Lonchura striata: one gene and its partners. The protein of the gene in region 2 purifies or fractionates together with the protein of the main gene of each other region. This does not show direct contact. Links are inferred from orthologs where the notes say so. Each region holds a gene or a part of one and is shown on either strand. Other genes may lie near its edges. The genes, in order: ZEB1, CTBP2, EP300 and FOXP1.

Evidence for each region.
Region 1: the proteins of CTBP2 (region 2) and ZEB1 purify together in Homo sapiens (affinity purification with western blotting; 5 studies listed by BioGRID and IntAct, with this or other methods). This does not show direct contact. The link is inferred for Lonchura striata from reciprocal best matches to the Homo sapiens genes CTBP2 and ZEB1.
Region 3: the proteins of CTBP2 (region 2) and EP300 purify together in Homo sapiens (affinity purification with mass spectrometry; 5 studies listed by BioGRID and IntAct, with this or other methods). This does not show direct contact. The link is inferred for Lonchura striata from reciprocal best matches to the Homo sapiens genes CTBP2 and EP300.
Region 4: the proteins of CTBP2 (region 2) and FOXP1 purify together in Homo sapiens (affinity purification with mass spectrometry; 3 studies listed by BioGRID and IntAct, with this or other methods). This does not show direct contact. The link is inferred for Lonchura striata from reciprocal best matches to the Homo sapiens genes CTBP2 and FOXP1.

What each region holds. Positions count from the first base shown.
Region 1 is NC_134603.1:142,312,343-142,319,901, reverse strand, and holds the start of ZEB1 (zinc finger E-box-binding homeobox 1), read right to left. Parts: upstream 3,014-7,559; 5' UTR 2,959-3,013; coding exon 2,901-2,958; intron 2,116-2,900; exon of another isoform or gene 2,016-2,115; intron 1,470-2,015; exon of another isoform or gene 1,053-1,469; coding exon of another isoform or gene 1,037-1,052; intron 1-1,036. UniProt on the Homo sapiens protein: Acts as a transcriptional repressor. Inhibits interleukin-2 (IL-2) gene expression. Enhances or represses the promoter activity of the ATP1A1 gene depending on the quantity of cDNA and on the cell type.
Region 2 is NC_134609.1:29,530,325-29,537,782, reverse strand, and holds the start of CTBP2 (C-terminal-binding protein 2), read left to right. Parts: upstream 1-4,274; 5' UTR 4,275-4,395; intron 4,396-7,458. UniProt on the Homo sapiens protein: Corepressor targeting diverse transcription regulators. Functions in brown adipose tissue (BAT) differentiation. Isoform 2 probably acts as a scaffold for specialized synapses.
Region 3 is NC_134607.1:24,935,642-24,943,748, reverse strand, and holds the start of EP300 (histone acetyltransferase p300), read right to left. Parts: upstream 3,202-8,107; 5' UTR 1,882-3,201; coding exon 1,788-1,881; intron 1-1,787. UniProt on the Homo sapiens protein: Functions as a histone acetyltransferase and regulates transcription via chromatin remodeling. Acetylates all four core histones in nucleosomes. Histone acetylation gives an epigenetic tag for transcriptional activation.
Region 4 is NC_134614.1:20,739,215-20,747,195, forward strand, and holds the start of FOXP1 (forkhead box protein P1), read right to left. Parts: upstream 3,155-7,981; 5' UTR 3,137-3,154; intron 2,424-3,136; exon of another isoform or gene 2,354-2,423; intron 1,753-2,353; exon of another isoform or gene 1,558-1,752; intron 1,193-1,557; exon of another isoform or gene 1,174-1,192; intron 1-1,173. UniProt on the Homo sapiens protein: Transcriptional repressor. Can act with CTBP1 to synergistically repress transcription but CTPBP1 is not essential. Plays an important role in the specification and differentiation of lung epithelium.

The DNA of each region.
Region 1 (7,559 bases), on a different chromosome or scaffold from region 2:
CTTGTAAGTGGAGGCTTTAATGGCAGCACCAATCGGCTCTTTGCTGACCTCCTGTAGGGACCAATAAACAAGGCAGAAAAGGAACCAGCTCCAGAGTTAAGATGATAAGACTGTCTTTCCAGCTAGAGTTAATGTGCCAGGATGACTCCCAAACACAGAGAGAAAGCAGAGGAAAGAAGGAAAAAACAAAAGTCTACAGTGTATGAATAGCTGTGTTAAGTTTAACAAGAGATAAAAAGAAGTTTACAGTATAATAACTCAGTGCCATAGCCCAGTATTATTAACAGGCATACTGGATGTCTAGTGCAATCTCTCTGCAATAATCTCATACTCTGTGGGAAGGTGGAGAGGAAACAGCATAAAAAACAGCTTTTATTTTTTATACTACAAACTAGCCAGTTGCTTATGCATCTCCCCTATGCCCATTCTTCATTAACAGAAGATACCTATAAGAACGAAATGCATTCTGCGACTTTGGGAAAAAAAAGCCTCATACTTACTCATTTTAAAGGTTAAAGGGTTAACATTTTTTCTATGCATTTTCTTCAGTTAATATTTGCAAGTCAAACATAAACCCACTGCTGAGAAATGTCTATTATCCAGATTCTATTATCTAACAGATCCTGATGTTCCAGTGCACAACGACTTAAGTTGGTTTGAATTCCTCAGTAAAAGGAACCAAAAGCAGCCTAAACCAAGACATACTACATTTTACATTACAGAACTAGTTGATAAAGACTCTGAGGCTCTTTATAATAAAGTGGGCGCAGCAATAAGGTCCAAAAGTGATGAAGATGAAAGATACCTGGAATGATACCACATCTTATACACCTTTTGTTTTCTGCAAGTGATGCACGCTGCAGACAAAACGGTTTGTGCTAAACAGCCTTAAATCTGGTTTTCTAATATTAAGCACAAAGGAAAAACACTGACAGCAAGCATGGTAAATAAATCCCTCCCTTGAGAATAAAAGCAGCAGACAGGAGGGGGCTGACATGCATGCAGGAGAAAACTAAACACCATCTTTTTTTTCTACCTGCACAAGTTGTCATTTGCTGCAGCAATCAAGGATCTATTTTTCCCCGTCGATTTCAAAAGCCAGGTTTTCAGAAAATTTCTCTGTCAAGTCATCTGTTGATCTGCTTTAGGAGTATGGTATTCATATCACTGGATCTTTAAGAGAAAAATCCATTTTCTTTCCTGTTCAGGTAAACATGTTTACAGCTCCTGCACAGACGCTGGGTGGTTCAGACTCACATGTCACACATGTTGTCGTCAGCAACAAGAAAAGCCCCTTTCTCTGATCATCCACATTTTTAATAAGGTAAAGAGAAAAGCACTTTCCAAACTTACCTTTAGCACAGCCAAATCACGAGCCAAATATAAATATTTACACCAAGACAAGGAATTAATAACATGAGCGTGCAAACAAGAATACTTGCTAGAAAACGCAGACAGCAGAAATAACCCTTTTAAGTTCAACGCAATCAAACCAACCCGTTAGCCCCTGGAAAGGCTGTCATTTATCACCGCGTTATGCCCCGAACACTGAGAATTGGAGAGGTGAAGCACCGATCGTGACTCCGATCTATTTCGGAGACCGTTCACTGCATATGAAAACATCTCAGATCGCAGGCAAAGCCTTCCTATCTGTAACCCTGCACAGGAAATGCCACATAAAACCTAAAATTGCCAAGGAGGGTTACAAAATCGCCTACTCTACATCCTATTCCGAAGAGTCGTGCTACGAGGACCGAACTACTTCTCCATTTTCCAGAAAATAAGTAGAGAGTGGGTGTTACGAGCCTTTATTCCCCCCGCCGTGTACCTTCCCATCGCATCTTAAAGTAACACACGTACCAAAGGGGAAAAAACACCACCCAACAGCAGCCCTTAAGCCTGAAATGTACATGTAATTCCTTATATAGACTGCAGCAGCTGGTCACACACGCACGGAGAGCGGAGCGGGGGCCCCCGGCCAAACCGTTACCACCCATTATTATACAAACAGGTACCTCCGAAGCCAGAGGGAAGGGAAGAAACTTCGCCGCCCGCCCCCGCCGCCCGGGCGCAGCCCTCCCTTCCCCAGCGGCCCGGCGGGGCGGCAGCGCGGCCGCGGGGCGCCGCCGGGCACCAACTCTCGGCGGGGCGGGGAGGCGCGGAGCGGGCGGGCGGGCGCGGAGCGGGGGCGCCGGCCCGGGGCGGCCGCGCTGCCCCCGCGCGAATCGCCGCCCGCTGCGGCGGCGGTGCCTCCCCCGCGTGTGCTCCCGGGTGTGTCCCCCTCGGGGACGGCCGGCGTCCCCCACCGCCGCCCCGAGAAAGGCGAGCGCCGGCCGGGGGCGAGGAGCCGGCCCGCCGCCGGGCGAGCGGGCAGGGAACTCCGCCGGGCGGGCAGAGGCGCTCCCGGGCGGGCGGCGGGGCGATCCCGCCCGCGGGGCCGGGGGGAGGCCCCGCTCCGCCCGGGGCAGCGCGCAGGTAACAAGTTTCGGAGTTGGGGCTGCCGCGGCCGGGCGGGCGGCGGCCGCTCCCCCGCCGCTCCCCGCGGGGCTCGGCGTCCCCGCCCGGGCCGGAGGGCGGCGGCGCGGCCGGGGGCCCCCGAGCCCGCTGCCGGCGGCGGGGCGGTCGCGGGGCTCGAGGGGGAAGCAGCGTGTAACGGTCCCGGACAGCGGCGGAGAGCGGAGGCACCGCTAGGCGGAGGAGGGAGGCGGCGGCGAGGAAGGCTGCAGGTAGCGGATATAACGGTGCGGAGGGAGCCGCGCTCCCGGCGAGCCGCGGCGGGGGAATTACTTTGGCGCTCGCCCGACCTCCCCGCTGCGCGCTCGGGACGGCTGTGCCCGGCCCCCGCCCCGGCCCCGCCGCCGCCCCAGCGCGGCCGCGGCGCTGCCCCGCGGGTGACTGACCGTTGTTGCGGCGCGGGTTCGGCTGCTTCCTGCGCTTACACCTGGGGCCATCCGCCATGATCCGCTCGCTGGTGTCTAAATGCTCCAGTCACCTCCTCCCCCGCCCGCCCCCCTCACTCCCTCCCCTCCCCCCCGGACCTGGTTTACGACACTGGGTGGTTTTACTTTTACATCACCTTCCTACACCTAGTGCTCGCCCGGAACCTTGTTGCCACGGGAGACGGGCGCTTTACGGCAGCGCGTTTGAACGGCGGCGAGGGAAAAGTTGCCCCCGCAGGTACCGGGAGCGGCGGCGCCGCCCGGCGGGGCCCGGGCCCCCGACCCCCGCACCGCCGGCAGCGCGGGCGGACCCGCGGAGCGGGACGGGGTCGGCGGTGGGGTGTCAGTGGTCGCCGGCCCCCCGGGGCGGCGCAGGAGGATCCCCGCGGGGCAGTCCGCGCTGAGGGGCCGCCGCCAGGTGCTCCCCCGGCCCGCGGGGCTGTCCCGGCGCGGGGCCGCTCCCGGCCCGCCGCGCTCGCACCTGGCCGGCGCACCGCGGCTCCGCGGCGCTCCTGCCGCGCCGAGCGGGAACCCACCGCCGCACCGCCGCACCGCCGCGCCTCGAGTCTGCCGCGCTCGGGCTGCCCTCAGTCGTGCTGGCCGGCTCTGCAAAGAGGAGGAGAGGTATAAAGTTCTGCGCCGTAACGAACAAAAAGAAGAGAGCAATTTTTCACGGATAATTAATAAGCAACCTCGGTTGTACTTAATAAACTTATTTAATGTATATAAGAATTAAAACCATCAAACATTTGTGCTATTTTTTTACTCTTGTTTTTCACTTCAGGCAATAAAATAATTTAGTAAGTTTGCTTCTATGCTTCCTTATTTCTATCTCTCTCTCTCTCTCTCTTTTTTTTTTTTTTTCCTTTATCTTGGCATGATTTTGTAGAATTTATAGTTCTGTGCTTCTGGGGAACTCTTTTATCTAAAGAAATTCAATGTAATTAAATTAAATTTCAGTGAAAGCATTTCTCTTAATGGGATACTTTCAATAAGACATTGATGCACTAGAAAACTTGAGTCCTTCAGCTGTTCTACATTGCCCTATTCCACAAACAATATATTCACATTCTGTGAACAAGAATTCACATTCTCATTTCATGGAAGAAGCATAGAACATCTATAGGAAATGAACTACTGAACACTGCCCGTTTATCGGCGTACCTTGCATCTGAAGCTCCCACAAAAGTCTGGACAATCAGAAGTCCTTAAAAAAGAAGTATTGGGCTATAATGGGTGCAGATTTAGGTAAAGATCCAAAGGGGTATTTTCTTAATCAATTGTATCCTCAAAAACCCCTAAGCCTTGGCTTTGAATACTTATATGAAAACAGTGGTTGCAAGTACAAATCACTTGTCTGTTAGTTCTCAAAAATCCTTTAAGTTTACATGGGGTTTTTTTTCGCATATGTGTCTTTACTCAGTGATGGTTGGCTGCTGACTTCAACATTTTAATAAGGATCTACCTAAGAGTGATGAAAGAAGCTAATCAAACAGTACCAAGTGCTTGATGGACTAACAGAGTCATTCAAAAGCATCAGATTTGGCATCAGTTGGGAGTACTGAACCCCAAATATGAGGATGGCTAAGTACTGCAATATGAAACTAACTATAAGATAAAAATGAAACTTGTCAGCTCAAATTTTGAGTGAGCAAATTACACATTTTAAGGGAGAGTTTTGTTTTTAGTTCAACATCTTTGCTTGTAAAGTTTCTGCACAGAAGATAACCTGTGGCTGTGAAACTGTTTGCAAATGAGTGCTTAAGGTGTTTTGGAATTGTTAGATGCTTTTTATCATTCTGTGGATGAATTTGAGGATGAACCAAAATACGATATACAGGTTTTCATACAAAGTTTTTACTTCCTTAAATTTAGTCATGTTCTTAGAAGGTAGTTGCAAATAATAAATAATATCTGTAAACTTATTTGTAAATTTGTAAGAATATTCTCCTGCATGCCCACACAAAGTTCTAGGCCCTCTTTAAGCAACTTTGAAGAGCTTATTTTCATTGAGTCTTGTCACTTTTCACCTCTGTATAAGAACTCTTGTCTCTTCCTTTTGAGCAATTCATATTTCCTAACAGAATAAGAAGAGAAACAGTCTCCTGGTATTTGTTGTGCTCATTTTCCAAGAGCCACAGTGTCTGTTTGAACTTGAATCTCCTGAGGTTTCCAAGCAGCTGGGAGAAACTGGTGACAACTCCTGCTGCCCATTAGTTTCTGAAGAGCAGAACTGAAACTGGCAGGAACATTGCTAGCTGTACACTGCTATTATTTGGATAAGTGAGAAGAGAAAACCAAAGCAACCTTGGTATACATTATCTTTGGGACCATGGAGGTCTAGAAAATAAAAAAAAAAATAAATCAGAGATTAATATTTTGCATCAAGTTATTGATGATTGCAATTGTGAAAACTAAATGGATATGTAAATAGATATGTGGACAGGTTGGGTTTTTGGGGGTTGATTTTTAAACTTTGTTGTATTTAATCCAAGCAACTGGGCACTTCACATCTTTGTATAGAAAATTTACTGTGCTAAATTAAGGGAGCAGCCACTGTAAATGAATTTTTACCTAATACATTCTTCTAATACTGAATGCAAAGCAACTAGTTAAAATTCCTATTATCTTTGTTATGTTCTGCAGTACGTGAACATGTTGTATGTGTAATTTAAACTGGTTTGTGCCTCAAGAATGGAAAATCTGGTTTTCCATTATGGTGCACAGCTTTCAGTCTGATTTGTCAGTCAAAGATGCAGGAATTAATTAAGATATTCATTTGTAAAATCTTAGAGAAGAGGTATATATCTGCATCCTCCTAAATGAGGCAGTCTTGAGAACATATCTCTTTAAAGGAGGAATTCTAAGACAGTGGTCATCCATAACAATTTCTAGTAACAATTTATATGGGAATTTATGCAAGCTAAATAAGCATATTGTAGTTAAAACACGAGATTGCACAGCTGCTGTACTTCACCTTTTTTGAAATTTATTTCCATTGTTTGAAGACAAGAATTAAAATATTTCCATAGTCACACTGTTGTATGGATGTTCAAAAACCAGGTTTTTCTTACAGACAGTTTTTCCCGTGTTAAAAATGTTCCTGTGTGTTATGTTACGATTTATGATCTCTTAAATATGTACCATTAAATAAAAGCAATCAGTCCTGTGTTTGTATCTACTCCTTATTGATGCTTACGGAGTTTCACACTGTATCTTGAGTATTCTGGATTTAAGGGTGTTCATTTAGTTTAATGATTTGAGAATTACAATGGAAAACAACTCAGTATTGTTTCATGTGTATTGTTTCTTGTTTAATTTCTGATTTGTGGAGGTTCTTTTTTTTTTTTTTTTCTGATTTCCATTAGTGAAACTTTGTTTTCAATTCCATGTATTTCTTGGAATCTCAGTTTCTAAAATTGATTTTTCAGTTGATGATTTTTTCTTTTAGATTTTTGTTAAATGCACTTTTACTCCTCTATAGGAATTGTAGTTGAAAGATTTGTTAGGAGAACAGTGACACAGAAATACACAGTTTGCTGCAGATGAGGAACTAATCTTGAATAACATGTTAATTGTTGAGGTAACAACATAGAAGTGTAGTGCCCTTTCAGATGGTCTTCCAATTTCTATTTATGCTTCCAAATGAATCTAATAAGTTTTGAAGGTGTACCCTCAGATGCTGTACAGTCTCAAAAAATGGTATATCTGCTTGAAATTTTCCCATTCATTTAGAGCAGGCTGTAAATATTTATCATGGGAAATTACCTTTTTTCACTTCCCTCATCTCATAATTTTATTTTCTGTTTTCATACTTTACTATGAATTTACTTGTTCATTTAAAGATTGAAGCCTATAAGATCTAATAAATTGTCATATCTTTACACAACTTGAAGAGATTGTACCTGCTGAAAAGATGTGAGGGTGTAACTCTGACATAAATCATCAATAAGTACATAGCTATAGATAGGTATAATGACTTGCACATATGCAACTGACTTTTTCTAACATCTTCCTTATTAAGGAAAAGTGTTTGTGAAGGTCACAAAGGCCTTCAAACCCATTTTGTTTCTCTTGCTCTCCCTTTGCCCTACTTGTTGCATATTGTTTTTCTCTTGAAAGCAATTAACCTGTGCTGATACCTATGTCAGGTTAGTATGCTGTAAAAAATGAATGTACTAGAACATAACAAGGACCATTCTCCTTCCATTCTTATACTAGCTTTCATTGTGATCTCAGTTTCAGAGCCTTCACACAAGCAAAAAACTATTTGAGAAAAAACTTGAAAAGATAATTTCATGTTCTTCATCCAAAAGGCAAATTTCATGTATTCAAAATGGAATTGAAATGAAAATTTGGGTAGAAGTGGTGGAGGGTGAAGAGCTGTGGGTTTTTTTTGTTTGTTTTCAAAATACCTGGAACTTCAGATAAGAATGTCTACTTCAGCACTTTTTTTTCTACCAGTAGATGCAGTAGCAAAATACTATTTTTTAAAAATTGCATCTGAAGTTGTGACTGATCAACTTACACTTGTAGTGAAGTTAGATTGCCTGCTTTTAATAACAGCATGTTTTCCATTCATCTTTGTGTATGATGACTCTGCTAAGTGTTCTTATCCTT
Region 2 (7,458 bases):
CCTCCTAATGAATTTGCTTTCACAAGCCTGATACCAAATGTTGGAATTTTGGCTCACCACTAGAAGTAATTGTTCTTGATGGTGCTTATACACGCGTGTCAGTCTGGTGTGAGATTAAAACTATAAGAAAAACAATGCTTCTTCTAAATTCTCAGCTCCAGAACAGTTTACCAAATATGTTTTGGAACAAATCCATCTCTGGTTTGCATCAATCACAGGAGTAAAATGAAGGATGTGCTTCTTTCAATCTATTTTCAAGTCAAAATAGGGTGCTGATATTAAAAGTGGAGTATGTGAGAAAATAAACCAGTCAATTTCTCCATTATCCAAATTTACACTCACAAAAGCCTTTAAGGAAAATGCCTTACTATATTCATATTCCTGCTTACTGGAATTGTATTACAGGCAGATGAACCAAACTCTTGACTTACATTTCTAGAAAACAAGTGTTTCCTGCCAACCATTTGTAAAAAAACCATGAGCAGCTTCTCAATTATTGTAATGATTATCCATTATAACCTAGCCAGTGTATCTGCTCCAAACCAGTTACATTTTAAAAACTGGTAAAAAAATCAATTATTGTAATGATTATCCTTTATAACCTAGCCAGCGTATCTGCTCCAAACCAGTTACCTTTTTAAAAACTGGTAAAAAATAAATGGGGTATTGATGCTGGTGCTGGATACTCAGTGTTCCTCACATCCAAATCTCATTTCTAACGATCAAATGCGGCTCAGAGGGATCGAGGCAGGATTTGTGTCTGCCTGTTCCTGCCTAGCACCGAGTAACTAAGTTGCACAAACACTTGGAGCAGTAAAATAACTGGTCTATTCTAGTCAACAGATACTCTAAATCTGCAGGGAGAGAGATGCTGGCACTGAAATTTATGTATGCACTGAGAGTCATCCAGCTGAAGTCACCGCGACTCCTCGCGCTACATAAAAGCGACGCAGCAGCATCATCTTTGCAGGATCAAGGCCCACATTTGCATCTGCAAATCAACCCTTTTATGAAAAGCAGGCTGTAAATTTTATTTATTATTATTATTATTTTTTTTAGTTCCTCGAGGCGTAGCAGTGCAGCAGGAGGTGCTGCTCCCAGGCTGACGTGTCGGTGAAGTGTAGAGGCAAAGTGTGATTTGCTCCCGGTTGGTGGAGCCTCGTGTGATGGGTGCTCAGCTGCTCAGAGCCAGCATGTGGGTCAGGAAACAATATCCCAACATCACCACTCCCCTGAATCCCCTGCTCAGGGAAAACAAGTTATTCACGAGAGAAGCATGTCATCCTTTACTAAAAATAATTACAAATTCATCAAATAGAACCAGCGCAGACACAGGGGCTGCAAACTTTCTGTTATGTTTTAGTGATAAAGCTGCAACACTGGGCGAGCAGCATTATTGCAGCAAGGGAGGTGAGCCCTGGCTGGCAGGGAACAGGGGCATCGTGTAAATCCTGCACCCCAAACACCCAGTTCTCATACTGGAGGGAATTGTAGGGAGTGCATTTTTAAAAATTCATTTGATTTCACAAAAAATTATGCTGGAAGAGCTCGGTCCCTAATTGTTACCAGGAACTTTTCAGTACAGCTACTGATAAATTAAAATAAATGGAACAGAGGAACAGCTTGGATTTGCTTTGCAGGCATCCCTCAGCAGGACTGGTTTTCTCCCAGCAGGGACTATCAGCACAGCCATCCCCAGTGAGTCCATAAGCTTGGGTGCCTCAGAGAGGTGTGGAACCTTTCTTTTCAGTAACTGCCTGAAACATCGGGCTAGAAGTTGGGTAAAATCTAGAAACAACCTGCAGGAAAGAGGCCAGGAGAGAGGTCTGGTCTGTGCCTGCACACAGCAGAACAATCCTTCTCTTGGGCTTTTAATTCTTCTACTTGTCACAAAACTGCTGCTCCCAAATTCTGGGAAGCCAAAACACCTGATTCTGAGCACACGCTAAATTTTACACAAACCAGTGAGGCGCTGGAGGAACTGAAGCTCCTTCAAGGTTGGACAGCAGCTGAATGGAAGTTTTAAAAGCTGCAATTTGAAGTTAAACCCCCGTCGTTCCAGGCCTCCCACTGAACCCACTGTGTATCTTCTTTCCGAGCATCTCATTACAAAGGCTATTTCACACTTGATGAATGTTCGATCGCAATCCAAATAGTTTGAAGAAAAATCCACATGCCTGAGGATTGCCCCCTGCTAAACTTGAAGATGTGTAGCTTCAGAGCTTTCTCCTTTACAACCTGTAACCTAATTGCTCTGGTAATGAAATAATTATTTGTGTCTTTGGCCTCAACTTATGTCACTGCTTTTGTTTACATCATGAACTCAGGGTTATTTATGGGAAGCAATTGCTGTGTTCCTACCCGGCACCCCCACACACTGTGTGTAGAATGTTTAACAAAGCAAATTGGGTAAAGCAAAGTGAGAGCAGCGTTGTGGTGTAAAAAAATTCCCACTGCAATGCCAGGAGCAAGGCCTTGGTCAGTGCAAATCCCTTCATCCACTGCGCCCCACGTGCAAAGGAGCTGCCCACAATATTTTGACAGTTAGCAGTGCTGCCCATGAAGGAAATCCAAGAAGTCCCAGTAATATGGAAATTGTGATTTTCATGTTGAGGTTTCCTCCAGGCAAGCAGAGTTTTCCCTTTAGAGGGACTTTTGCCAAAGGGAAAAGTGCAGAATCAGATGCATCTTTCAGCTGAAAGCTGCTGAATCTTGCTAAAATCTGCGTTGAGGTGCCTGGCTGTAACCACATCGTGCAGAGCCTGGGCATCACGGGGTGGCCACAGCTGTGGCCATCTCTGCACTGACACCACGGGGAATCCTGGCTCCAGCTTCTGTGGGACAGCGGCAGCAGCCCCGGGCAGCAGGTGCTGGGAGGACAAATGATGGACGTGGCACAAACATCCACCGAGGACGTACAACGTGCTCCTAAGAATCAAGATCTTTAGGCCCTTAACCGCGTAATTCCACCCACAAAAACTGAAGCTCGCTTATTTATTCTGATGGACAACTGAGCTGGTTCAAGGGCTTTATTAGAGTGGAAAAGGAATGTACTGTTTCCCAGGCTGATTGAGAAGCACGGGATATATATATATATAATGCAGGACGCTTGATGATTATACAACAAAAAGATGGGATCACCACCTGCCCACATTCTTGTGATAAGCAGATGAAGAACGTCTGTCCGAACGCTAATTCCCAAATCTACGGGGGTAACACGGAGCACAAACACAGACGCGCCGAGCGCGCTCTCGTTCTCTCGCAGCCGGCCGAACGCCCGGCCGCGATCACCCGCGCTCACACCGACCGGGGGACGCGGCAGCCCCTCGGCCTGCGGGATGTCAAACCCCCGCTGCCCTTCATCCGCCGGCCTGCCGCGCCGCTCCGGCCGCGCCGCGGGGCCGGGCCGGGCCGGGCGCGCCGGGGGCCGGCGGCGGTGCCGGCGCTGCCGCGGGGCCGGGCCGGGCCGCTGAGCGCGGGTGGCCGAACAAAGGCGGCGGCGGCCGCTGCTGCTGCCGCCCTCCCCGCCCCTCCGCCCAGCGCAACAGGCGCCGCGCCCCGCGGAGCCCCTTCCCCGCCCCCGGAGCCCCGCCGAGCCCCTGCCCTGCCCCGCACGGTCCCGCTGCCGCTCCCCACCCCCGGCGCCTCCCCCGCCCCTTCCTCGCTGCGTCTGTTTGTACTTTGGCTGATCCACTAATCCCCCGAGAGAGCCTATTTGTAGTGAAGAGTATCTATAGGGGGCGAGGCTGGTCCATGTGGGTTTGTGTCATTGGTTTGTAAGGAGAGACCCCGCCTATTGCCAAAAAAAAAAAAAAAAAAAAAAAAAAAAAAAAAAAAAAAAGAGAGAGAAAAAGAAGAAGGGAGCGAAAAAAAAAAAAAAAACAAAAAAAAAACGAGGCAGTGAGAGGAGAGCCTCTACCTCTCCTCGCTCTCCGTTCACCCAGCGTGGCGAGGGGGAGCGGCTGCTCCGCCCAACGCCGCCCGGGCACTTTCTGGCTTAAAAAAAACCCCACAAAACACAAAAAAAAAACCAACCAAAAAAAAAAAAAAAAACCCAAACAAAAAAGGGGAAAAAAAAGCAGGAAAAAAAAGAGGAAGAAGGAAGGGGGGGGGGGAAGAGCGGCCCTCCCCCCCAAGTTGCAATTAGCATCCTCTCCACTGCTGCTGCGGGGCTCCGGTGCCCCCGTCCGCTCCCGGCGCGGCGGCGGGCGGAGCAGGAGAGCGGGGAAAAGGGGGGGTGGGGGGGAAGGATTAAGTTTTTTTTTTTTTTTTTTGTGCGGTGTGCGAGCGGGTGGCGTTTTTAAGGTGGATCTCCGGCAAGCAGAGCCCGGCGGTGGATGCGGGAAGGGATGCGGCGGTGAAGAGCGGCGCGGGGCTGGCGGCGGCCGGGAGCAGGTAAGGGAGCGGCGGCGGCTGCGCTTCCCGGCGAGAAGGACAAGGGAAAAGCGAGGACATCTTTGCTTTAGTCAACCTCACCGGCGAGGGGGACAGAGGAGAAGGAAAAAAAAAAAAAAAAAAACCGAGGAGGGGAGGGTAGGTGGAAATGTGATGGTGGAGGGAGGCGGCCGCGCAAGTTACGCGGGTGGGCGCGGAGCGGCGGGTGAAGTGGGAAATCTTTTGTTGTGCCGGGCCCCGCATTGTTTACTTAGTGCCGAGAGCCGCCGACAACATCTGCCGGGGGATTAACGGGGCGGCGGCGGCAGGAAAGTTTGGGCAAGGGGGGAACCCCGCGGTGCGGCGCGGCCGATGCTCCGGGGGACGCGGAGCAGCCGCCGTCTTGCGCTGCGCTTATAATTTATTTTTTTTTCTGGGGGGGGGGTGGAATAGTGTATTTAGTTATTGCCTTTTTTCTTTTTTAATCGTAATTTTAGGTAGATTACGGGGGGGGAATGGTTTCGGGTTTTTTTTAAATTTTAATTTTTTTAAAAATTATTTTATTACTGCTGAATAACCGCGCTCGCCGCTCAGTCACTTAGCAACTCTCCACGCTCCCAAGCCGCGGAGGTGCGCGGTGTCCGCGGGGCCGCGCCTCGCTCCTTCCCTCCCACCTCGTACCCCTCCGCCAGAACTCAGAATAATTTCCCCACTATTTATTCATTACGTGTATTCCCCCCCACCCCCCGATTTGACCATTTTAAACCCTACCCTGATATCACCAGAATGGAAAATCAGAGGGGGTGCGTGGATTTAGGCGCTGAGATTGTTCTTTTCACACCACTCCGCCCCACGATTAAAAAAAAACCCAACATTTCCCCCCCAAACTTGCAGGACTTGCTGAGGGGGAAAGAATAGCCTTTTGTCCTGCCGAGGGACGTGCCCCCAAGGTAAATCCTGGCTGGAGCTCAGCGCCTGGTACTTTGCCGGGTCCCAGGGCTCTGGCTGTGCTGGGGAGGAGGAAAGTAGGAGATGGAGATCTCAAAGTAGTAGAAGTAATTTCTTCTTTCAGCTGCACTCCTGCGCTGCCTTTGAATTGCCTGCAATGAATGTACGTAGCTCTAATTGAAGTACTTTAATCATTCACACTTGATTAAGTATACCGTGACCAGAGGAGAGGAATCCACGCGGCGCCCGGGAACGGGAGGGATGGGATGACATTTTAATCCTGTGTTTTAGAAAACATGAGTGGGGCAGGAAAAGAAGCGGTGACGGTTCTGTGTAACGGTCCCTTGTTTCCATACAGATGGTGCCTTTCCTTCGGGATGAAATCGCAGTTATTGCCGGTATTTGGGGAGGGGGGAGGAAGAAAAGGCACGTACTTCTAGGTTTGTTTAAGCAGAGTGAGGAAAATAATGATAGACGAGATGCCTGGTGACAAAATGCTTTTGTTCCTGTTTCCATCAGTGCGTAAGGGCGCCGACCTGCTTTAGCATTCTTTAAAGGTCTGTCTTTACCAAGGAAAATTGAAGATGGTCTCATTATAGGAGAGTGTGTTTGGAATACTATGAGGTATTTATGAATTCAGAGGTGATTGTTGGATCTCAGACATTTCAATTACGCATCCTCTAGTAAAAAAAAAAAAAAAAAATTATTTGTAGCGATGTGTTCTGTAATCTGTTACTTCCATAAAGCTGATTTGTGCTCGAGCTCCGTAGCTGGCTGAGGGAATGGGTCCGTCCACGGGGCTCGAATCTTAAACAAGGATTTCTGTTCTTTGCCTCACAAAACTTTCTGCTGCAGGGGCAGCCTGAAGTTCCCATAAAAGCGATTCTTTGGGAAACGTCAGCTATCGTCAGTATTTTCTGGAAAATCTGGCGTTGTGAATGCAGGGTGGTATTTTTAGAAAGGAGCTTTTTATTTTTGGAGGCGTTTGTGAAACCCACCTGTTAGCCATTAGGGGGGACAGAGGTTGGCTTTCATCGTTAGCAAACCCTGCGCATCTGGGGGCTGAGGGCTGTTCCTCACTTGATCCAAGCTCTCTCCAGTCATGGGCAATCAAAATATCTTTCCTTTTCAAAGTTACAACCAAGTGTTTCTGAAGCTGAACAGAAAATAAGGTGGTTCAGTCAGAGTGGTGGCACTCTCCTGTGTTCAGGAATACGGATTGCAGGAGCGTTTCACTCTTCCTTTCTCTCCTAGAATTTCAGAGTGAGATGCTTCCCTGGTCCAGGGTTGTATGGCCAATTTTATAGTGTACAAATCATAGATGATGTTTTCTTGCTGTCAGCTTTCTATCTTTTTAAGGTAGTTTTCCAGCCCATGTGGATCTGGGGGTTTGGCTGGCAGGGTGGCTCCAGAGCTCGATGCCCCCTGGAGCTGGCAGCTCCCTCTCCTCCCTCCTCTCCTCCGAGGGCAAAGTTGTGCCCTTTTTCCACTCCTGCTTTTCCCAGATGGAAAGCACTCAAAGGAATTTCCCCACGGCAAGAACTGCAGCACAAACTGTCATCTTTAACGCTGGCACTTCAGTACACAGATTTGTCACTGGGGTCTGGTGATAATATTCCTTGTATCAGAAAAAAAAACATCAGCCTCAGAGGGGGCTGAGGTCTCAGGCATGAGCTGGGAGTAACATACTGATGCCTTTGGCCAGAAAAGTTGATTTATCCATCAGGCTGGCTGCAGTTCAAATAAAACTTCTTCAGTTCAGCTGACTCTGGCAAGAATGAAATATACTAGTAAAAAAAAAAAAACTCTGAATCTGGGTTTGCCCAACCATTCGGAAAAGGTAGGTTAATTTTCCCTGGATGTTTTGGGTTGTTTATTAGCTGTGGAATTGAAAGAGGCTTCGTGTTTAAAGCAGAAGAAGTTGAAAAGCTGCTCAGAACACAGCACTGGCAATTGGCAAGTGTTTTGTTAGGATGTGGTGGATGATGCTGTCTCATAAAACCTGATGGGTGTCACATTTACTCCTTACATAGATCTGGTGAGTGTTCCTGGCTTTGCTTTGTATTTTGGTTGTAGTAAGTTAAAGAAGTAAGGAGTGGAGCTTCTGGTGGACAGCTCTTCAATTTGGGCTGATGA
Region 3 (8,107 bases), on a different chromosome or scaffold from region 2:
AACTGAAGACTAAGTATTCTGTGAGAGTCTACACCTGTTAAACTGCAATACATACACGAATTATCCAACCTTTATTTGCTCACAAATGTCTGAACTTAGATGTGTGTTCATTTGAATCAAAATATGCCTTTAGCTTGCATATTTTTAAACTATCAGAACTTTTCTCACAAAATATTTTTATTTCACCTCTCTAAACAGAGCAAAATAACCACTATCAAGACAAATTTAAAACGGTTACTATTGAATTAATCACTGTTTTCCAAATCTAGCAAAAAAACAGCCAACAACTAGTTCTCGCTTAAGAGTAGCTTCTCCAACCCTCTTCTACTCTCTTACTAGAGACCTGTTAATGTTAGGAATAGTCATGTCCTCCAATTACAACATAATATTGGCTGTATTTAATATGCACTAAAAGTCACACACAAACTTTTCAAAACTAATACATCATTCACCGAGAATAGAATAGGCAAAATCAAAATTTTGGAGATGATCCCAAGCAGAACCACATCCACTGCTCAAAGACCTGCTATTAAAATCTCTTTTCAGAAAAAACAAAACAAAGACCCCAAAAACCAACAACAAGAAAACAACTCTTCCCTTTTCTTGCCAGTTGTTAACTGCATTGAACAAGAGCACGGGTGCCTTCAGAAATGCCACCACTCACCAGACTGGCAGGAGGAGGAGGCCTCCTCCATATCCCATAGGTTAATAGTTTCTAATGTGATCTAATGGGAACTAATGAGAGTTCAAAGAAACTCCAGGTAACAGAGTATTCTCATAGCAAAATGACACCAAATACTCATCTGCTTCGCAAGAAATATTAAAAAACAGCCCTTTGTTACTTCCTCCCCATTCCCAGTACAACCAGTTAATATTTGCTGGGGACTGGGTCACCTAAAATTTCCATGTCCTAGCTTGCCTTCCCAGCATCACCAAAGACCTTGGCAGGACTGCAGAGAAGCCCCTTTTCTCTTCACAGCTTTTAAGTCTACAGGGGAATTTCAGACATTTTGGTCTTGCAGCAAAGAAACAGGAGATGCAAGATTAACTACACTCCATATTGATTCTTAAGGCAAATAAGGTGAAATAAAATTTCATCTCTAAGAAGATAAGTCTCAATAAACCTTATGCCACAAGCATGGCATCTGAATTTTGGTTTTAGCTGTTTTTCCTAAAGCCGATGGTCTATTTGAATCAGAAAAGCAGTATTTTGATACACTTCTACAGGAAGAACGGAGGATTGTAAGAAGTAAATCATATATGCAGACTGCATATAAGAAAAAAGAAAAACAGCAAGAGAAATAAATCTCGTTTTTAAACAAGATCTAGAAGAACCCCGTATATGCAAAATAAAATACAAAACCAAGAAACTTGTGCGCACACACGTAATCCAACAATAAAGTGTACAAAAGCATCGTCTTTAGCACTTCGTATTTCTGCAACTGGCATTATGCTTAGCAAGGAGCTAAGCTATTATTGTGAAAGACACGAAAATGACGAACTGTTAAGTCCTATCTGCAGCTGATCAAAAGCACAATAAACTGAATAGCTTTGCTCTCAATCACTTCCAAAAAACCAGAAGGGCAAAAACATCCGAACACCCTCCCTATGCCATTAACGCAAATAGCTTCAAACGGAGCGAGAACAGGCGAAACAGACGGGAAGGAGAAAAGCAGGCTCGAGCTAACAGCAGCAAAAGGGAGGAGGAGATTTAAGCAAAACAGGGGAGAAAGGGGCAGTAATTGCGGCACCAAGAAGCGGGGAGGCTCTGGGGCCCCGAGACTGACCTGTGCCGTCGCTGGCGGACACGGAGAGCGCCGGTGAGGAGAGTTTAGGCCGCTTGGCTGAAGGCGGGCCCGGCTCCACCACATTCTCGGCCATTTTTAATTTTTTAGACAATCGCTCAGAGCAGAAAGAAGGTGGGGGGTGAACCCCAAAACCTTCACGGTCTTCTGGGGCCCGGAGTCAGCTGAAGAACAACAATAAGGCCGAGAGCGAGGAGGAGGATCTGGCGGAGAAGGGGGGCCAAGTTCCCCTTTTTCTGCTTCTCGGGCTCTGGGAGGGCGGCAGCAGAGAATCTGGGAGAGGTGGGAGCTGGGGCGGGCGGGGGTGAGGCCTCTTCCCCCAGGCGAAAGGGCTGAACGAAGATGGGAAGAGCAGGTAAAGCCCCCGCCAAAAAAAAAAAAGGAAAAAAAAATTAAAAATGGAGGCTGGTGAATATTTAATTTTTTTTTAGTAAAATTAATCCCGGCTGTTGTGCTGGTGCTTCCTCGCCGCCGCCACCATCATCATCTTCATCCTTCGGGGGGTCTCCTCCTCCTGCTGCCTCCTCACCGCCGCCATCAGCCTCTTCCTCCTCGGCGCCGTCCTCCTCCTCCTCATCGCCACAAGGAGGCGGGCGAAGGAGAGGAGAGGAGGAGGAAAAAAGAAAAAAAGATCACCGTCCTCTAGCAGCGGCTCCTTCCCCCTCCAACACCACCCTGCGAAAAAATACCCACCGCCAGCGACAGGGCTGGGGGGGAGGCGGCGGGGGGGAGTGGCACAGCGTGCGCGGGGTCCCCAGCTCCACTCGCTTCTTCCTCGCCCGTCGCTAATGGCTGCAGAAAGGGGAGCTGTAAGGATGAGGAGGGTGAGGATAAGTCCCAGGAGTCTCCGCTTCACATCTTGTTGTGCAGGCAAAGAGGAGGGGTTGTTGTCCTGATGGAGGCAGCACCGATCGCGGGATGGGAAGGTGGGGGGCGGGTTTCAACACCCCTTCTGCCCCCTCTTTTTCTCTTCTTCCCCCTTCCTCTTTCTCTCGTTCGCAGTAGCAGGCTGCCCCCCCGCTCCGGCGCAGGCAGAGGGGCCGATCCCACAGCAGCGGCAGGAGGAGGAGGAAGAAGAAGCCGGCCCCTCCCGCCCTCTCTGCCTACCTTCCCCCTTCCCGGGCGGCCGAGGATGGTGGCAGGGAGGGGGCTGCCCGTCCCAGCTCCCCCGGACCCACGGGCGATGCAGGGCGCGATGAGCGAGGGAGGAGACCCTCGGCTGTTGTTCGGGCGCGGTGGGGACTCCCCCTTCGCCTCTGCGAGGGTGGGGAAGGGAGCGAAGAGGTTGGAAGTCGGGGTGGGAGGGGAGGCCGCGCAAGCTACCCCTCGGAGAAGAGGATCGAGAGGTAAAATTAAAATAATAAAACAGGAGAAAAATCACGGCGGGGAAGGCCGGGGGATTCGCCCCGGAATGGCCGGGCGGGGGAGGGGGTCCCCGGCGCTGCCCCGCGGGGGGGGCCGGGGCGGGACGGCGGCAGCGCGGGGGCCGAGCGCAGGCTCCCTACTGCCCCTGCCTGGCGCTCCGGGGGCGTGTGTGCGGAGCGGGCAAAGCGGGGGCGGAGGGCAGTGCGGGAAGAGAGAATTCCGGGAAAAGGAGAAGAGAGAAAAGGAAACAGAAAGAGAAGGAATAGCGAGGGGACGGGCAGGCTGGGGTTGGGGGGGGGAGGGGAGTCTGGATTCCTCGCTTCTCTCCCCGTCCCCTGTCCGTGCCCCTGGGTCTCTGTGCGCTGCCCTCCCCCTGGCTCGCCCCGTCCGGCTCGGCCTCTCGCTCCCTTCTCCTCCCTCCGTCGCTCACACACAAACAAAATGGCGGCTGTTGTTCCTTCGCTCTCCCGAGCCCTCGGAGGGAAGCGGCGGTGGCGGCGGCGGCCGGAAATGAGCCAAGAGAACACGGGGGGCGGGGCCGCCACCGGGGCGTGGTCAGCCCCGTGGGCGGGGACACGGCGGGGCGGGGCCCGGCGGCGTTAGCGCACACAATGGAACGCGGGGCGCCGGCGGGGTGGGGGGCGTGGCACCGCCCCAGCCGCCGTCACGAGACCGCGCTTACCCACTCAGCGCTCGTCTCTCTCCGGGCTCTTCCGCAAACTCCGCTGGCCTCGCCCCTTAAAGGCGAAGGGTTTTTCCCTTAAAAAAAAAAAAAAAAAAAGGCTCCTTCTTCCTGCCCCGCCCCATACGGCCTTATCTGTCGGCCCAAAAGTGCGCGGCGTAGGCCCAGGGGAGCCTGGCCGGACCTTGTGGGCGCTCCGGTCTGCTGCTGCACCACCCGGTGCCTGCTGCCCGGCCCGGTGGGCTGAGGCGCCGGCGGGAAGAGCGCGGTTCTTTCGCTGCCCTCCTTCCTTCCCTCCCGCCCGCCGGCTCCCGGCCGGTTCCCCGCGGCGCCGGCGGGCGGGGCCCTCCTGCCGCCGGTCCCGGGCCGTGCTGCGCCACAGACATGGCAGCACCCGGCCAGCCAGCAAAGGGCCTGGGCAGCGGGGCCGCACCCCGAGGCCCCCGAAGTGGCGAGTGGATGTGCGAATCACACAATCGCAGAATCAATTAGATTAAAAAATCTCTGAAATCATCGAGTCCAACTCGTGACCGAACACCACCATGTTAGCCAGACCATGGCACTGAGTGCCACATCCAGTCTTTCGTTAAACACCCTTAGAGACGGAAACCCCACCACCTCCCCGGGCAGCTCCCAATGTTTAACTGCCCTTTCTGTGAATAAATTCCTCCTAATCCGGCGGCGCTCTGTACTGCCCATCCCGGGGGTGCCCAGAGCTGCCTCAGGCTCCCGTCGGCGTTACAAGACAGACAAAAATCCCCAAACGCCAAAGGATAAATAAGCCCACAAGCCCCGCGCTCTCCGCCGGACCCCAGCGTGTGGCGGGGATGGCGCAGGGCACGGTACGAGGGACCGCGGAGTCCTGACAGCGCTCCCGCCCATCAGAGGGGCTGTCGCAGGCATAGGTGACACTGGCGCGGTCCTCCGCCAGCCCTCTCAGCCCCCGAGCCGTCCCACAGGTTACGGGCCACGAGTTTTCCTCAAATCTCTGAGGGCTCATCCGTGAGGAAATGCCCGATCCCGGCATTTCCCTTCGGTGCGTTTGGACTCCGTCGGGCCGCACACCATTACGAGATAGGAGTGGAAGGGAAATGCAGGCACGTGCATGTTTTGGATGGAGAATCAGGGGGTGTTGATCCAAAACCGGACATTTGCGAGGAGGACTTCCCTTGCCGCTCACCCTCAGGGACGAGCTCTCTGCAATCCACGTAAGAGCCACAGCAGGTATTTGGGAAGAGCCTAGACTAAACACAGAATCAATACTGCAGCCTACAAGAGGAGCCTACAGGCAGGAGGAGATTCACAGCCCTGTAAGTTATTCACCAGCTCCCTCACATACTCCCACTCTTCAGCTTCCCTTGTTTGGGTTTTATTTTAAACAAGATTGTTCTTGTCTTCCCCAGCGCAAAAAGGAAAACACAAACCACTCCAAAAATGCCCAAAGATTGGATTTAGGCTTCCTGAAAATTCTTGAATGCATAGGCACTACGTTAAGAGAGGTGGAGAGAGCCTTGCCGCTACAAATAAGCCTCGGGAAAATAATGTGTAGTGCAAAAAGTCTCAAAGTCTCAAAACTAAAGCTGTCAGGACTAACAGCCTAAAACTTAACAGTGACACCTTAGAAACTATGTTAGTGGTTTTCACAGGTTTTTTGCCTTTTATTGTTTCTAAATTTCCCAAAATATGCCAGTTATAGAGATTTTATGTTACCTCAGGTTTGTTTTTTGGGTTTTTGTTTGGTTGGTTGGTTTTTTGTTGTTGCTTTTTTTTCAGATTGACAGTTTCTCTTGTTTGTGAAGCAATTTTTTAACACAGCTGAGACTAACTTTTTGGTCTCATTAGAATTAGAAGTTGACTGAAATAAGTCAATATAAAATTGTCAGACTGGAGACCCTTAGTCTACAGTTCAATAAGGAATTAGTGCTGGCTTTTTAAAGATGCTGAAGTGCACATAAACACCTAAATGCTTTTAGAAGTCAGGCCCTTACTAAACAACAAGTTGGGAGCAAATAAAATGTTTCAAATAAGAGTTTTGAGACACTTGTTCCTATCTAGAGACTAGATCCTACCATTCAGTTCACCTGAAATTGTGCTGGCAAACAAAATAAAGTTGTTTGTTTGTTGGGTGTTTGTTTGGTTGTTTGTTTTTGTTGCAGTTTACCCTCTGGTCTGGCTACCTGTCTGTCTATCCTTGAAAAGGGTTCAGGGATGCATACCTGAACTGTGGAAAACTTAAACTCTTACATAAATGCTACCAAACCAACATATGTTTTCTGAATATTAATTATATATATATAAGTGATTAACTGATACTTCAGTAAAGCTATAGTTCTGCTTTGCAAGCTTCCTACCCAGTAGAATATCTTAGTTCTTTAGGCATTAAAAGGTCATATTCAGATGGCTTTCCAGATTAGAGATTTAAATGCAAGCTGAAGTATATGGAAAATAAATAGAAAAGAATGTTATTTGTGGTATTTTCCTTAAAAAGGCACCAAAAATAAAAGAAGGAGGAAGTAAAGGAAAAGCCAGGAAAGTAGGGTTATGATAAATCAAATATATATATATAAACAATGACAAAAAACTATTCAATATCTGTTAAGTTTTCTCAAATCACTGCAGTTTTCTTAAATGAACCTTGGTACATGCACACAACCCATGACAGATAACATTACTGGAAAGCAATAACAACATAAAGCATACTAAGAAGAAAATGCATAAACCTATAAAAATAAAACCAGGAGGATATTATAATATTAAAAGTAAAACACACCTATTCATCAAAAAACTTCTCTTTGCTTCAGTTTCCCCATTCTTACAGCAAGGATAGTAATATTTATCCCTTGAAAATAATGCCTAGAAGAATTGATTAGCTCATTAATGTCAGTAATTACAGTAGTCATTATGTACTTTAAGATAACTGGATGAAAGGACCATAAGTCCAGTTAAAATGAGAATCTGCTCAGGAAAGCAATAAGAGAGGAATGCAGAGCCTTGAAGTTTTATCGTGGGATCTTGTTTGGCCTTAGCTGGTAGTTACTGAAATTTGTAAGCATGCCCAGCTGCTTTGAGGGCTACAAAGAACAAGATAAGATCCCTTTGTACTGCAAAGGTCAATGTGATGCCCAGAGCTCAGCAGTCCAGCTTCAGTGGGATGAGCAGGCAGAGGAATAATAATCTCCTTCGGCCCAGAGGGAGCTGGGACTGTGGCCTTCCCCTTCCAGCTGCTGGATAGAGAAGCAGTGTAACATCTCAAACTCACCCAGCCAGCCTCCCCTGCTCCCTAATACTGCTCAGGAAATAATTTATACAAATGAAACTTCCCTGCTTCCCCTCAGCAGGATTTGTCCCACAACCCTGTGGCCCTTCGAGTGTCTCTGAAAGATGTGGACTCTTGGAATGGAAAGCAGGAGCCAGGTACAGGGCACTCCTATTCTCTCAGTCCTGTTTTTGCTTGCAGTTTCCAGCTCTATTATCTTTTTTTCCCCTGAGATTTCCAGGGCTGCTGTTCATGTCTGGCAGGTAACTTCTGTTCCCTAGCTACCTCATGTCACTGCAGCACTGCTCACAGACCAGATGGGGAGGGAGGAGGAATGACCCCCTTCTTTCTACCAGCGAGGAGGTCTAGGCATGGAGGGTCCTTCCTGGCACAGGTGAGAGGAATGAGGAAATTATTTAAGGCTCCAATTTTTGCAAGTAATGCCAGGCTGCAGCTACATTTCTGGAAAGCAAGAGCTAGCTGTGCCTAAGCAGAGAACATTGCTCAGTGCGGCGTCAACATTAAAACCCAGCAGCATTTTGATATGAGACAAATTTTATTAAAACCATAAGAAGCAACCATCCAATAGTTGGTTCTTTCTTGCTTTTAGCGTATACATAAAAGAAAGGGTTGGCGTTCTGACAGCAAGCAAAATGCTTTCAGTCCTCAGTCTCAGAAACACAGGCTTCCTCGGTCACACAGTTTTCAATAGCTGAAAACACAGTTATGTTGCTAAATGTTAAGGGCTCAGCTGTTTACCAGAAGAATGTTTCCTCCCTGGAACACATGGTTTTACTTAAAAGAAGTTCTCCCAAAAACCCCACTTTATTTAATTAGCAAATGCAACATTATAGTTCTAACAAACATGCCATGCTGTCTTCCCTTACAAGAGCAAAATAGGAAAAGAAGACAAAAATTGACCTCTCAATTTATGAGAGGGGCAGAAGTACATTCTGCCTAGGAAATATTGCAGCTTGAATGTCTAGTGATCTAGAGCCA
Region 4 (7,981 bases), on a different chromosome or scaffold from region 2:
ATCCTTTGGTTTCACAACAAAGATCAGCATTTGTAATGGTCCATTTCTGCATAAGTGAACATATAGCCTTGCTGCCTGATCGAATAGTCCAGAGCTTTCAGTGAGGCAGCTCCTGACAACAGCCCAGCAGCAGCTTTGTTTGATCTCTCCTGCCTTCCTTAATCTGGGTTGTCAAGGTTCACTTGTTGGAGGCTGTTTACTTTACTTTTTCCAGAAAAAAAAAAAAAAAGTGATTTTTTTTTCCTGTCTCTCATACAATGACTAATCCAAAGACTAAGGGGGAAGAATGCTGCCAATGCAAGATGTTAAAGCTACAATACCTTTTTGCAATGAGATTTTAGCCGACACCTTTTGAATGGTAACTAGTGGAGAGCTTCCTCCCCCAGTGCCCTGGTCCATTCAATATGGTTGGGAGATAGTTCAAACAAAATGTGCAGGGGAAAAGCTTCAGAGGAGAGAAGCTGAAACGAGTAGCCCCGATTTCCCTGTCTTCCCCCAAATGTAGCTGCCGAGATGCACGGTACCTCCTTGCCCACACTCGCTTCTCTGGGAACTTGAGTTATTTCAGGCTCTCTCAAACTTATAAAACGTAAGAGCTGTTCAGCAGTAATAAAAACTGCAAAAATAATCCTAAACCGAGCAAAATGCCTGTTTTCCAAAATATTAAAAGTAAGCCGTGGATTAACAGCAAAGGTAAAAAAGTTTCTTTGATGACATGCTTGCAACTTTGTCTAATTAAGCATCTGTCACTAGTGACACCAACATTTCGTCAAATCAAGTAAAATCCAAGTTTAGAAAAACTGTATGGAAAGGAAACACAGTTTAGAGAACTGTTTTAGTATTTAGAACCATCCAGCACCCCAGAAATCAGCAGGCTATATGGTGCAGACGCCACGCTACGAGCAGTACACATCCATTACTCACTCCGAGAACAGTTACTAAAAATGAAACCTTAAACTTCTGAGCACGGAAGTTGAGCTCTAGCTTCTCTACAGAAGCGGCTCAGAGAGCGCTCGCAGGCGGCAGATGCCTCGGGTAGGGACGGGAGGGCTGCGCGCTGCCGCCGCTGCCAGGCTCAGAGGGAAAAGGACGGGGGAAAAGGAAAAACAAAAAAAAAGTAATCGCGCTCGGCTTGGTTCACTCAAAGCAAAAACACGCAATTAAAATCATTACAGCGAAGTGGCAGCAGAAGAGTCGCTGAAAGCGCGGCGCTCGCAGCCCGCCCGGCGATGCTGTCCGCGCCGGGGCCGCCCGGTCATTAATAGTTGCCGGGCGGAGCGGAGGGGGCTGCGCGGCGCCCCGCGGAGCCCTGCCCGCGCAGCTGTCCGCGCCCCGCTCGATGGCTTGGTTTGGGGTTTTTGTTGTTTTGGGTTTTTTTGTTGCCTTTTTTTTTTTTTTCCAGGAAAGAAAGAAACCCACAAACCGGCGGGGCGGGGGTGGGGAGGAGAGAGGCGCGGACACGCCGCTCGGCCGCCGCCTGCAGCGCGCACCCCTCCGCTGCCCGGGGACGCGGCCGCGCAGCGCGGGCCGGCAGGTGCGCGGGGCGGCCCTACTTACCGGGCAGCGGCGGCGGCTCCGCGGCGCGCAGCGAGCCGCGGCTCCGTCCCGAGGCTCCGCACCGCGGGGCTGCGCGGGAGGGGGACGTGCGCTCACACACGCGCGTGAAGGATGCGCGGTCCGCACCCGCGCAGTGAGAAGTTGCGCCGGGCTGAGCTGAGGAGGCGCGGGTGTTTATTCAAACACTTCGTTTCAAAAAAAAAAAAAAAAAAGAAAAAAAAAAAAAGAAGAAGAAGAAATAGAGGGGAGGGGGGATGGGCGCAACGCGTCCCAGGGACCAGCGGTGGGGGCGGATGCGCGGCGCGGGGCTCCGCGTCTGCGGAAGGGGCTGCGCGGGCGTGAAGCCGCAACAGGTGCCCGGGAAGGGGGGAACGGGCAGCCGGGCACAGCACGGGGGGGAGGGGGGGCGCGGCCCCACCGCAACTTCTTGCTCCGAGCGCCGAAGTTGGGGCGTACGCGCCCCTTGCGCGGCGGCGCGGAGAGACCCGGCGGAAAACACGCGGAAAGCACGAACAGGGATGGGAGGGGGGCGGGACGCGCCGCATCCCACCACGGCGGGGAGTGCGCGCAGCGCGGGGCGGGGGGGAAGTTTCCAAAGTGGGCGGGGAGGGGGTGCGGGCGGCCCCGCAGCCCGGGGAGGGGGCTCCGCATCCGCGCACCGCCGCCCCACATCCCCCCACCCCCCCGGTACCGCGGCGGCGGTCGGGGAGGGGCGGCCGGGCACGTGGGGCCGGCGGGGGGAAAAGTGCAACAGCCCCGGAGGAGCGGGGAAAGTGTCGGGGGGCGCCGGACTCACCCGCAGGACTCGGCCCTGCCGCTGCCCAGCACGGCGCGGCCGCGGCGCGGGCGGGCGGCGGCGCGGAGCGGCGCGGGGCTGCCTCCGTCCCGTCCCTCCCTCCCGTCCCTCCGGCACGCCGAGCCCGGGCGGCGCGGCGGCGTGCTCCGCCGCTCGGTAAATAACAATAGAGCCCTCCGCCCGGCGCCGCGCCCGCGGGCCCCGCACGCCGCCCCGCCGCGCCCCCGCCCCGCGCCGCCCCGCGCCCCCTCCCCGCCCCGCGCAGCCCCGCGCGGGCGGGCCGGGGGCGGCCCACGACACCCCCGCGGAGGGAGATGTTGTTATTTTTTGCTGTTGTCAGTCTCTGACGTCACATCCACCTGCTGGGTAAACAAGGCTCGGCGCAAGGGAAAAATAATAATAAAAAAAAAATAAAATAATAGAAGCGGGGGGTGAAGCGCGCAGGGGGTGAAGGGCGAGAGCCCCGCAGGCGCGGAGCTCCGCGGAGGACGGCCGGGGAGGCGGGGGGGGGCCGGGCCGGGGGAGGCGGGGCGGCCCCACGGGGAAGCGAAAGTGGCGGTGGAGCGCGGTGCGCAGCGCTGCGCATCCCTGCGCGCCCCTCCGCACCCCGAGGGACAGCTCAGCGCCCGGCCGGGGCCGCCCCGTCGGCGGGCGCGCAGCGCTGCGCACCCCTACCAACTTTTCCGCGGCCGCTCGGGAGGCAGCGGGGCATCAGGCCAGCGGAGCTGAGGCATGCGGGGGACCCCGGAGTGCCCTCCGCAGGTACCCGCGGAGCCGCCTTACCTGCGCGGAGCGGCGAAGCGGGCGCTGCCTGCGTTCGCCCCGCAGCGCCCGCTGCTGTGGGCGCAAACACCGCTCAGACACACTGCGCGGGTGCGCAGCGGCGCGCACCGGCCGCTCGGCGGGACTGACCGTCCCGGGGACCGGGCTGGGTCCCGCTGCGCGGCAGTGGGTCCGCATCTCGGTGGGTGCGCGGAGCGGCAGCGCTCCGGCCGCGCCGTCGGGGCTACCGAGGAGAGGGGTGGCAGCGCCCGCGGGGGCAGAGCCGGGACCACCCGGCTGCCCCAGCCCTGCGGCTTCGGCACTCGTTCGCCGCGAGTTTTAACAGCACCGATGGATTTGGAACCTCCGGCGGCGCGGGGGCTCGCTTGACGGCGGCCGGAGCAGGCGAGGGGAGCGGCCCCGCCGGGCAGCCCCTTGCCCTGCCCGGGACCCCGGCCCGCTGCCGGCAGCAGCGCGGCGCCGGCGGGACGGGGGTCGCTCGTCGGGCGCCCCGCGGGGATGGAGCGCGTCCTGCCCGGCGCTGCGGGCGGGAGTCAGCGGGCGGCCGCCAAGTTACCGAGCGACCGACTCGTTCGGGGGAAAAAAAACTCTTTCTTTGACCCGCCCGGCTTTCTTCCCTCCCTGCTTTTTCGGCGAACTCGTGTGGTTGCCCGCAGGACGGACCCGGGGCCGGGGGCGATGGTTTCACACGCCGTCCGGAGCGCTACCGCGGGGCGAGCCGCGCCCGCGGGAGCCCCGCGCTGCGCCCAGCCGCTCCCCGAGTCCCGGTGCCGGTCCCGGTCCCCCGCCCGGCCCCGGCGGCTCCGGCAGCAGCGCCGGGCCCGCGGCGCCACCTCCCGGCGGAACGGCGGGAGCCGCTCCGGCAGCAATTAAGACCTGGAATTACCCTAATAGCGAGGTACTTATGCGTAATTCATTATATTTTAAATAATTAAGAGCGGAAAATCGCTGCAAATAAATATTTGCGGAGGTGATGCTCGCGCCGCTGCCGGAGCGGTGCGCTCAGACCGGGGAGCGCTCGGGGCCGGGAACGGGCGAGAGCCGGGAGCGGAGATTTCAGCATCCCGCTTCTGCAGCTCCGGTACCGCAGGAGACACCGGGGTTTGTGTGACCTGGCGGGACCACCAGCTTTAAAAGCGAACATCATCTTGTTATATTTTTTAGTTCATCTGTTTCTTCAGTAGGAAGAAAATGGAGCAAAACCTGTTAAAATTGCATTTTTTAAACACTCTCTACCGCTATGAAACAATACTTGTTTTAAATTTCAGCTTCGAATAAACACTTATTGGCTACTTCTTCATCTCTTGTTTTTAACTTCACACATCCAAACCAGTATATCAACTCTGTAAAACATGATTAATTCCACAGACAGTACCAGCGGTGGGACTTCTCCCTCCCCTTCTGCCTATGTAGCTGCTAATTGTGCTTGAATTGTTTACTGCTGTATTGTTTTACAAGTGCCTGGAGAAAGATGCTTGATATTCCCACCACCGGTAGAACCATCCCAAGAGCAAATACTTCGCAGATTTTGGCAGGGATGTATACAGGCTACAACTACAGCTTGTTAGCTAAAAAAAAAAAAAAAAAAAATGAAGGTGATGACGCCTCTGTAATTATAGGTGTTACTTGTTATAAAGTCAGAATGTTTTCCAAGCTACTGTAATGCCACACCTCCAATGTCCCAGGAGCCAGGCCTTGGAGTCCTTTCTGCCTTAGTCACTGGTTTATGAGGCTTTGCAGAGCACATCACCAGGCTGCACGGCGGGTTCCTGGCCCACTTGGCACTCCTGCGTAGGTGCAAAGCCCATGTGGGTACTCAGCTGTTATTTTACCTTTTACATCAGACATGAAAAGATGAGATACACACCATGTACTGCCCCAAAAAGTTGGCGGACGTAAAGAGAAATGTACATTGGATTTACAGCCTGGTTTTATGATTATCTGACTTTTGTTTCAAATAAGCACAAGAAGAAGCAGCCCTGTGAGTATGCTCATACTGCAACTAGAGGCAAAACTCTTTCTTGGCAAGATGGTGATAGCTGCTCTCCACATTTCCTTGTTTTTGGTGTAGTCGGGGCAAGTCAGATCAGTCTGGCAAAAAATAACCTTCAAAAAAGTAGAAAATGCACCTCTGCCCACATGGTACACAAGCACTGTAAAATAACTGGACCTTTCTTTAGCTCAGAGAACTTCAAGGGTAGGAAACGTCAACTTGCCTATGAGGGGGAATTTTAAAAGGTGTAAACATCAGCTTAGAGACTAAACCCCATGCTCTAGCAGCACTTGCACCAACTTTAGTGGAAGGTGGATCTGTTCTCCAACCGGGGAAGTCCCACAAAGAGATAATGTGACACAGCTAAGGTCTCAAGTTGGCTTGTCTGACAAAATGAAAAGTTCTTCCAAATGAGGGCTATAACCAAACCTAGATATTTTTTAAATGAAATGGAATTAAATAAAATGTTGTTGTTGGGGAGGGGGGTTTCCAGCATACCAAATTGTGATCCCTCCGTTTCAAATGTATTTGCATCCTTCATCTGCTTTTGCTATTATACTCTCTCCCAGTTTCCCTGGCCACAGTAGAAACCATGTCCTGGCCTGTGCTGGGAGGACAAGCTGGAACAGAACTGAGCTCCCATGTGCCAGGAGGTGCCTGGCAGGACAGGGCTGCCCCACAGCCACCCCGAGGGCTGGTGCTGGGCTGGCTGTGGCAGAGCAGGCAGCCAGCAGCACAGCCAGCTTGGTGCTGTGTGTAAGGGAAAGAAGAAGCTGTGCTGCCCTGCAGCATCACGATGCAGGCAGAGCAGGCTGCAGCCTGGCTCCACGCACAGGGCAGAGGGAGTCAGGCACAGAACAAATGACATTTTGCTCTGTTGTGAGTCCAGAGAAGCTCCTCTGCAGTCAGAGCTGGTTTGGATTTGCACAGGCAGTGCAGAGACACGAGTCTTGGATTCACCCCAGACTCCTCTGGGTTCCCAGTGGATGGGAAAGGCTCCCCACATCCATACCCACAGTAATCCTCTCTGCTCCTGGAGGTGTCCCTCCAGCCACCACTGTACCAGAAGCCACCCAGAGATAACTTTTCTATAGCACATTTCCATTTGGCCTGAGCTGCCAGCCAATACATATTTCCTTTTCCTGTGGGGGCAATGAATAGCCATTGTATTTTCGCTGGACTATTAATCTGCCTGAATTTGGTCGAGATTCTTAAATGAATATTCATGGGAATTAATGTCATTTAATTCCTATTGCTTCCTGAATATAATTACGTGCCGTACGTGAATTGGCAAACTCCAGGACACATCCAATCTTGCTAAAAGTCCATGACTGATGAAACTTCGCGTGCTGGACACTCGTGCAGCACTGGAGATGCACAAAGCACTGCCAAGATGCAGCTTGACTTCAGGAGAGGAAACCAATCAAAGAGGGAAGATGTACACTGTAGGAAGCAAACACCACCTTGAGGGATAGAAAATATGATTTAAAAGGTATTTTAATACAAGCTCTTCCCCAGGTATTTGTCTACACGTAGGGGCTTCATTAAACATTTATATTATTTGGAAAAAAAAGCTTTATTTCTTCTACTTTCTCACCCACAGAAAAACATCTTTCAGGACCTCCTATACTGACCTCTTCTAAGAGACAGCATCTCTTGGAAGACCTTCAGCACATCCTACAAATATGAAGTGCCCAAGTGCAATCCTCCTTCTCCCAGCAGCCTGCCTGCCCAAGTTCACGCTGTTCCCTGAATAATGAAGCATAATCAGCTCTGTATTAAAGCAAAACCTGTCCCCAGCATCAGTGCTACCAACCCCTGTCGTAACATAACAAGGACTCTTCCCAAAATATTTGGGCTTGCCCTGTCACAGTGAGAGGCGTTCAAGTTCAGCACTCTGTCAACAATGCCAGGTGTCTCCTGAACCTCCGGCGCCCGAGCCAAGCGAGAGAGCTCAGAAGCACAGGAATAATCATTATTCACATTACTAAAATGTAACGGAATGTTTAAACAGATAACGTAACACAATCCCTTACAGCAGAAAAAGAAAAAAATACTGTTTATTATTTATCCCTGTCAGATAGAAAATGAACTCAATCTCCTGGAAAGCAAAAGCAAGGCTCCTTTTTTTTTTTTTTTTTCCCTTCTTTCTGCAACTGACAGCCATGAAAAAAAAATATTCTATTGTGGCAGCTGCGCCCCTTCAAAGGGACTGATGTTCGCTGTGGTTCTTGATAAACCAACTGGCAAATTTTGGGGGTGAAAAAGAAGTGACTTGAAGCCAAACACATCTAAGAAAAAAAAGCCTTGTGAAATCAAAAATCCAAGAACAATTTCATGTTGAGTCAATCTGAAGATTTCATTTCAATTTTGATTTTTTTGGGGGAATAAGAAAAAAGACACACACCCCCTTGCTTGAAAATAAAATTAAAGGACATTTTGAACACAAAGTAGTTTCAAAATGAAAAATCAAAGTGTTTCATGTCAGAAGTGTCAAAACTAACAGCTTCAGCATTTGTCAGAGCTTTTTTGAGTTTTTATAAATGACAAGTTTGGCATGTGTGCACAGACCGTTTTGGTGCTGCTGAATCTGCATTTTTGCATGCAAAAAAATTGGTCGGGTGAAATTTTCTGTGGAGAAACCGTTTGCCATTCCCTTTGTGTGGAGACCAGCAGCACTCTCCCCCATGGCTGCACTGTGCAGGAGCCTCACTGACACTTCCAGCTCCTCTTTGGCTTATTAATATTTTACCCTTCAGTTTGCAGCACTCCACAGGCCAGGTCTTTTCCAGAACCAGCTCCCTGGTTAGCAGGAGGAGGTACAAAGGTTAGGAGAGCCCGACTGTGCATCT